Arabidopsis thaliana: one gene and its partner. The protein of the gene in region 1 interacts with the protein of each later gene in a pairwise test. Each region holds a gene or a part of one and is shown in the gene's direction. Other genes may lie near its edges.

Region 1 (4,504 bases):
AACTGACGGTCTGATAAAACAATATAACAACCTGATTGTCTGCCTCATTTCAGCAGAGTAATCTATTTATAAGTGAATACCACAGATATCAAACTTTATTGCAAGAGAAAAATAGTACACAAAAGCATCATACAGGTAATATAGTATCATATGTACGCATATTCAATTAAATTACGTCGATGCTCCTGTATGCATAAGTAGAGTGTTCTGTATAATATTTATAGACTTACCGTTCTGAAGTACTCTAGGGCTTCATCATTAATCGTGCATAATTCATAACAAAGTTGAACTCCTGTTATAAGAACCCCATGATGCTTTTCTTTAAGCAAGGAAGCAGCAGCATTTACGAAGTTTTCTGCTAGATCTGGAACTTTCCTTATTATTCTAGTAGAGCAAAGCGCCGCCTGCATATAATACAACATAAATGGTAAAGGCAATGAAGGAAAAAAAAAAAGCGACTAAACTCCAGGAGACCCTGTATATGAATTAGAAAACACTTCACCTTCTTTCGGATATTAGGGTCACGAAACTGGATTAATCTTTCTACTTCTGGCGCAAGATCACGGGCCATTTCTGCTGAACAAATATTCCCTAAAGCACAGAGAGCAAGTCCTACAACATACTGGTTCGAGTGATTAAGATCTCTGCACGTGACTTAAGGTTAAACAGGAACAAATCTATTTAAATATTTTTCTCCTTAATTCCCATAACAGCAATGCAATCAAAAATCAAGTGTTCTCTAGTATTTTTTAACATAGAAGAAGAATCCATTCAAAGGCCAAGGTATCAAGATTTAATACTAGAAATTAGTAAGGATACTGTTTTAACGAATTTGTGACAAGCATCAACACTTCTTGTCTCTCATCAAGAAGCAACATTAGCCCTAGATATCCAATCCTCTTCTCTGGAAATCCAGGAGATGCAATTAGCTTCAAGCACTCCATCTGCCCAAAGTGTGTGGGATAACCCAGCATGTGTATAAACATGAGTTTCGCAAGGTTCCGGTGCCGATCATGCGGGTCATCTTCATTAATCAATGCTCGAATATCGGCACACTCCTTTCTTACAACAGCTCGCTCCTCCGCAGCTGTTTTGCATGCTCTTATGGCACGGATCATGTCCCTGAATCATACTCATATGTCCACTATAACTTCAGAACCATATACAATAATCCGATCTGATTCCACTATTAAACCCCAACAGCAACATGACCAATCCAATATTCAATTAAATTAAGCAAAAGGATTACCAAAAATCCTTAGTGTGATCATGTTCTTAGACTAAAATCAAAATTCTAAATGGAATCAGAAACACCAATACCAAATTCATCTTCGAAACAGGCCAATCAACAAAATTCAATCCTCAAATGAAAACGAGCTCAATTACATCATGTTATATTCAAATTTCATTTGTAAGCTGATCAACGACTAAGAAACCTGAAACAGAAACGATAAAAAGGAAAGAAGAGAATCAATTTACCTTAAACGAGTACCAGAAGAAAAGGGATTCATGATTTGGGGTGTTCAAGAGTTGGACCTTGGTCCACCGGCAACTTTACGAGGAATCTGAAGAAAATGAAAACTTAGCCGGGAAGAAGAGTTTCGCCGCCGGGATTGTGAAAATCCGTTACCGGAGTTTCGAGTAGCTGATCAATACGAGAGAGAGAGATGAAAATGAAACTGAGGATTTGGATCTCGATGGACGATGCTCGTTTTTTTCTTCTCAGTCTTCGTAAACCATAATTGCCAAATTAAATGCGTTGTATAAACATGACTTCCATTTCCACCTAAACGGTAACGTTTCGACCAGCAATCCTCTCAAAACAAAAACATAGACTGGGCCGTTTCTTTATAGTTAAACACATAAATGGGCCCTACTTGGGCCGTTTTTATTAGTCAAATTTGAGAGGGTCGATGATACGCGCTCTTTCATTGGTTGTTACACAAATTCTCCCCTACACTTGAACACATCATAGTATCGCTCAGGCCCTAGTATCTTTTTAAAACCTTTAAAGATGCTAAGCAGCAAAAATAAGTAACACAACACAAGTTACACAGAACAGTCGCTTTCTCCTCTCGATTTTGACATGGCTTGGGGATTTTCGTCCGTGTCTCTCTTCTTGTTCGTCGTTTTCAATCTGGGTATATTTTCAAAAATCTGTTAATTCAGTTGAATTTCCCAACCCAAAATTCGAATTTTTAATTTTCCTCATGATTTTGTTACAGTGAGTGGTAAGATAGTTTTAGAAGAAGGGTACGAAGTCACAACGGTGGTCGATGGCCATAAGTCTGGTCTGAATCCATACACGATTCATGCTTTACCAGGATCTTCTAATCTGATCGTCCTTGATTCTTCCGGCAGTACATTTTACACTACTTCCTTTCCTTTGTCCGTTGGTAAACACCCACAAAACCACTCTTTTGTCTCATCTATTAATCGGATCATTATAATTGTGTTTGTATATGAGTTGTAAATTCATGGATGCATAAGTAAATGTTTAGAGCTTGTTGATTTTGATTGCAAGTCTTGACCTTCATTTTTTCTTTCTCCGTAATCTCAAATTGGACCACAATACTAATATGTGTGTGTATGTGTGTGAAACGATCAACCTGCAAATAAAAGTTCTAAACTTTACTATAAGTGAAAATTTTGTTTATCTTTCTTTCAATTGAAGTTTGAGCTCACTTTGAGTATGTGTGTGTGGTTGTGCAGATAGTGTGATAAACCGGTTTGCTGGGGATGGGAGTTCGGGTCATGTAGATGGTAAAGCTGGTAACAGCCGGTTCAGCAAACCCCGTGGTTTTGCTGTGGATGCTAAAGGGAATGTTTATGTTGCTGATAAGAGTAATAAAGCTATACGGAAGATCAGCTCTTCAGGTGTTTGTTTAATCCATTTCTTGTATTCCTTTTGTATAAATGCTAGTTGTTGTTGTTGTCTAATCTTAGTTTGTTGAAAGAGCCACTTAGTTTATTTTGATTATGCATGTTTTATTTACTGGACTTTGTAGGTTCTGTAACCACCATTGCTGGAGGGATCTCAAAGGCATTTGGACACAGAGATGGACCTGCACAGAATGCTACTTTCTCTAGCGATTTCGAGATAACTTTTGTTCCTCAAAGATGTTGTTTGCTTGTTTCTGATCATGGAAATGAAATGATTCGCCAGATAAATCTTAAGGAGGAGGATTGCCTCGAAAACTCTCATTCTAGTATGTCTTTTCTATAAGTAATCTTTTGTGGATTTGACTAACCATGCCTTTGGAAACTTCAACGATTCTTCTTTCACTGTTTCAGATTTGGGGACATACTCTCTTTGGTCAATAGGGATTGTCCTTTCCTGCATTCTCGGGGTAGCCATTGGATTTGCTGTTCGCCCTTACGTCATCCGTCATGTAAGTTTTTTTTAATCTATCCTCATATTACATACTAGTGTATAATCAACATATCAAATCTCTTAAACCAAATCGTTATAGACAGGAAGAAGTGAACCACCTCTCGTTCATCATGACATGGAAGCTTCTCCTAACCAAATTGGGGGAACAAGTTCTGACCTTCTTCTCCTACATTAGAAACCGAGTTGCTGAATCAACCGTTTATTCAGTATTAAGTAGACTAGTTATGATGATCGTGTCTCACCTTTCCCTCATGTATTCCGCCCTAAGTAGTTTAATTTGTTCGATGGTATCTAGCCTTTTCTTCATGTGTCAACCCAATAATGTAGCTATTTTAGACAAAACAGTCTCTGTGTCTGATCCCGAGAGTCCAGGTTGCGGCAACCCAAAGCCGCCCCTTTCACTGAAACCCTCTGATGATCTTATTGACCTAATAAGCTTTGATGATGAACAAGAACCTAACAATGACAAAGATTGCAGGAATGAAGAGACTCTTCCTCATGCAACCATAGATGACATTATAAAGGTTCATGTTGAAGAATTTTCAAAGATGGCTGAAGAAGATACTGTAATTCATGGTTCTTCATCTACTGAGTAGGTTTCAGTTAAAAGCACATGAATCAGAGAGTATGTGTCTTTTGTAAATGTAAAGTTTGGTTGAGTTGAAAAATCTTTGAATATTTATTGAAGTGCTCATCTTTTTTTCTTTATATCAAGGAAGAATGATTAATCTTTGGTACTTTTCTTACAAGAGAGATCTAAATACCCAAATCCCTATTGTGCCTTCTCAACAAATTTTAAAAAACTATACCTGAATTCCCAATCTCTACTACTACTATCATATTAAGCAACTTCTCATGTCTATGAATAGTATCCATATGGGTAACTCACAAATTGGTGAGCTCTGTGGTGGATATTCTGATGAGTATTCATCTGGTCTTGCTCCTGGCCTGGCCCAAACACAATCTCATTAGTCTTCTCGCTGCTCTGCTCATAAAGAGTGTATGGGATTGTTGAGTGATGCCTATGGTGATACTGCTGATGCTTCTCTTGTTGCTGCTCCTGGAGGAATTCGGCGTCCAAGCTTCTGTACAAGGCACGGCTTTGGCGCA
Region 2 (3,842 bases), 7.7 Mb from region 1:
TAGTTTCTAGGTTCACGTCTACAATCGCAAGTAGAGCCCACGGGACGAGAATGCCACGTGTTCGTATAGGTTTGCTGAACGATTGCGAAACGTGATCCCCTCTTTGCAAAATTTAAACACTTTTTGGACCAAAACTTTTATGTCTTTTTAATAATAATACGAAACATATTTAAATTCATATTTAATTTATATATGAATTTCTTAAAAATATAACTATGTCATTGTGAGAAAATTCTAACATATATTTATCTATCTATCAAAATGCAGAGGTCGCGTATGTTAAACAAACAATAAACCTTATAGTACTGGTGGTAAATAGTCATCAACCAAAAGTAGAACATCTGATGATAAAGAGACGATATATTTTCAGAAAAAAATTAAAGATAGAACTTGGTCCGAATTCTGCTTCTAAAACAATTTTCCAACAATTATTATAGTATTTCATTTGTCTGATTCATGTCATATCTAAACACCAATATTTGTATGTGACGACTATAATCATTTAGGACTAAGTTCTAATATAGGAGTTGCCAACAAAAAAATTCCAATGGACCTTTAAAGGTTAAAAGTCTAAAAACATGTCCTATGTTTTTGTGAAAGCCCACTTTTAAGTAATTCTTTTACAAATGAGGCCCACATAAACCTTATATATGACGACGAGACAGTAACACAAATTTTGATTAACTAGAAATGTCATCAACACCTCAAACATATGGTTTTGTATATATTAAGATAATTTATTATCACACCTCAAACATTATTACTATTTAATAATTATCATAAATAAAGAAATATATATATGTTACTTTGTTAGTAGTTATGCATATTTCATTTAAGTTATTATATTTCTTTTATACTGCTAATACAATATATCACATATATTATTTCTTATTATCTTAAAAATTGTTTGATAATTTCAAACATGTGTCACACTAATGTAAAATGCTAACATATATTAAATTTTTGTTACATACTATATGTTAAGATATTTAATTTCAAACACCTCAAACCACACATTATTACGCTAACAGTTAATCCATAAGTAACAAAAAAAAAAATGAAAGGAGAAAAAAAGTATAAATACGGATAGAGGAGCTAAATTTGTATGCTCAGAACTTAGAATATTTAGGGGAAAAGTTGTCGCAACAAATTCCACAACAACATAAAAGCAATGATGGAAGTTTATATTATTGTCGTCGTACGTGTAAGCAACCGTTAGTTTGGTTGTTATCGTTGGTACTGTATTTTGTTGTAGCATCTGTTATCGTTGTCTCGTGACGGAGAATAATTAAACTCGAACAGTCACTACCGGCGATGACACATGGAAATAGATAAAGACTGTTGCTTTCGTGATCATCACGGTGGGGGTTGTGATGAACATGGCGGAGGATGCGGAGGATATAACGATTCTGCTTACATTATGAATTTATGATGCTATAGTTTATGTCCTTCGTTAAAAAATAATAATGTAGTGGAAGCTTTGGTATATTCTTATAAGAGAATACTTGAAACCTTTGGAGTCATCTAGAGACTTCCGGTCTTTACGGTTAACAACAAACTTAACGTTTCATCTTCACACGCGGCCACGTGGTGCCTTCAAGAACGTTCTACTTTACTCTCTCCGCAACTGCTTTTATAACTTGAAAAATCCTAATTTTCTCTCAACCTTCAAATCTCAAATTTCTCGCATTTTCTCGGGAAAATCGTAACGAAACAAACAAAATAACTTCTCCTCCGGCGAAACAAATTCCGGTACTTGTTAATTCTCGATCGTCTCCTTCTCTGGTTCGTAGTACAACCTAGGAATAGAATTTTCCCGCGTTTTTTTCCCCATTCGTCTGATCAGAATCCATTGCTTCGATTTACAGTTTTTAGAATGTATAAGTGGAATCTTCCTTACCGAAAAGATGACGTGGAGACCGGCCGTGAAGGCGGTGAGAGATCTCTGTATCCGACTATGCTTGAGAGCCCCGAACTCCGATGGGGTTTCATCAGAAAGGTATATTCCATAATCGCATTCCAGCTTTTAGCAACCATCGCCGTCGCCTCCACGGTGGTTTTTGTCCGTCCGATCGCCGTGTTCTTCGCCACTACTAGTGCCGGTCTCGCTCTCTGGATTGTCTTAATCATCACGCCTCTTATAGGTAACCAAATTATCAATCATTAATTCGATGATTATTTGATTTAGGTTTTTGGTTTAATTTGTTATTGTTTTGCTGTTGCAGTAATGTGTCCTTTGTACTATTACCACCAGAAACATCCAGTGAATTATTTGCTTCTAGGGATTTTCACGGTAGCTTTGGCTTTCGCCGTCGGATTAACATGTGCTTTCACCAGCGGTAAGGCTTTCCTTGTGAAACACTCTAGTTCTCTTTATTCGTTTCTGTCCTTTCAAGGGTCGGTCTTATTAATTGCTTGAAATCACACGCTTAAGATATAATATAAAATTAGTCTGTGAGACCTCCAACACATTTGAGCTGGGTTTGAATTTCCTCATACTCAATACAACTGGTTCATTGAAGATTGATGTTCCATGGTTGCATAGAAACATTGGATTGTTTTAATCCAAATTCGATAAACGAACCATAGAGTTTTGGGAGTATAAATTTATTCATTAGAGTTTGGAACTTTGTTGTTGGAACAGGGAAAGTGATTCTTGAGGCAGCGATTTTGACAACAGTAGTGGTGCTTTCCTTAACCGTCTACACCTTTTGGGCAGCAAAGAAAGGATATGACTTTAACTTCCTCGGTCCATTCTTGTTTGGTGCTCTCATCGTTCTCATGGTCTTTGCCCTTATTCAGGTTCCTGTCCCTTACAATTGCTTGTTTTGGTTTAACATTCGAAATTCAGGTTTAAAACTGAGCCTGATCGTGGTGCTTTGGGTTCTATTTGTTTTTTTGCAGATTTTCTTCCCGTTGGGACGGATCTCAGTGATGATCTATGGATGTTTGGCTGCGATAATATTCTGCGGGTACATAGTTTACGATACAGACAATCTCATCAAACGTTACAGCTACGATGAGTATATTTGGGCAGCAGTTTCGCTCTACTTAGATATTATCAACCTCTTCTTGGCTCTCCTTACCATTTTCAGAGCTGCCGAGTGAAGCTTCTTTACTCCTTTTTTAAGTCTCGATCAGTGTTATTATCATGTTTTTAAAATGTGTAAATCTCTAATATTGTTTGTTAACGAAACTTATTTTCTCTGTAGTATTCTCATGTACAAAACATAACCTGGCAGTGTATCTTTTAAAGTAATCGAATAGTATTGAAATTTGCGGCTTGGAGACGGTAGATTTTGTTGTTTAAACACACCACAGCTACGTCTGCTTTGAAAATTGAAACGCAAACGTAGAACAAATTTGGAATTTAAACTATTAGCAATATACAAATTTCTTTTAAACCCTACGGAAAAGCAAAAAACAGATATTAGCAAAAGTGTTTCTCTTTCATATCAAACTTCAATACGTTTCCATTCACATGAACATTATTTAGCTTACTTGCAACAACAGTTCTAACTATCAAGGAGATGGAGGCGGTTGCACGCACCCACAAAACGCAAACCGCTTTTTAATCCTCTTTCGTCGCTCACCTCTCACTCCGCTATAGATATAATCCCGAAGAAGAATCCTCGTTTTGCTATCCGATATCTTTGCTTTTGCTCGATCCTCTCTATCTCCTTCCAGTTTCAGTAACAGAAACTGTAATCTCTGTATCTCCAACTGTAACCTACCAATCTTCTCTGATCCTCTTCTCGCCTGTTCTGATATCCTCCTCCTTCTGCTACTCTCATTCTCATCAAGATCCATTGATGATTTGCTTCCATCTGATCTTTCAAATC

The links. Proteins that work in one complex are often made in the same cells at the same time.
Region 2: the proteins of AT1G23890 (region 1) and AT1G03070 interact in a protein complementation assay, tested with the Arabidopsis thaliana proteins (one large-scale study listed by BioGRID).

The regions. Positions count from the first base shown.
Region 1 is NC_003070.9:8,438,386-8,442,889, reverse strand, and holds AT1G23890 (NHL domain-containing protein), read left to right. Parts: upstream 1-2,023; 5' UTR 2,024-2,086; coding exon 2,087-2,141; intron 2,142-2,225; coding exon 2,226-2,396; intron 2,397-2,712; coding exon 2,713-2,877; intron 2,878-3,008; coding exon 3,009-3,209; intron 3,210-3,294; coding exon 3,295-3,392; intron 3,393-3,473; coding exon of another isoform or gene 3,474-3,477; coding exon 3,478-3,990; downstream 3,991-4,504. Other genes in the region: GAMMA-ADAPTIN 1 (gamma-adaptin 1), read right to left, coding at 231-404, 503-644, 820-1,122, 1,480-1,511; AT1G23880 (NHL domain-containing protein), read right to left, coding at 4,254-4,504.
Region 2 is NC_003070.9:728,272-732,113, forward strand, and holds AT1G03070 (Bax inhibitor-1 family protein), read left to right. Parts: upstream 1-1,558; 5' UTR 1,559-1,752; exon of another isoform or gene 1,753-1,868; 5' UTR 1,869-1,876; coding exon 1,877-2,144; intron 2,145-2,225; coding exon 2,226-2,339; intron 2,340-2,644; coding exon 2,645-2,802; intron 2,803-2,904; coding exon 2,905-3,108; 3' UTR 3,109-3,294; downstream 3,295-3,842. Other genes in the region: NET1D (kinase interacting (KIP1-like) family protein), read right to left, coding at 3,523-3,842.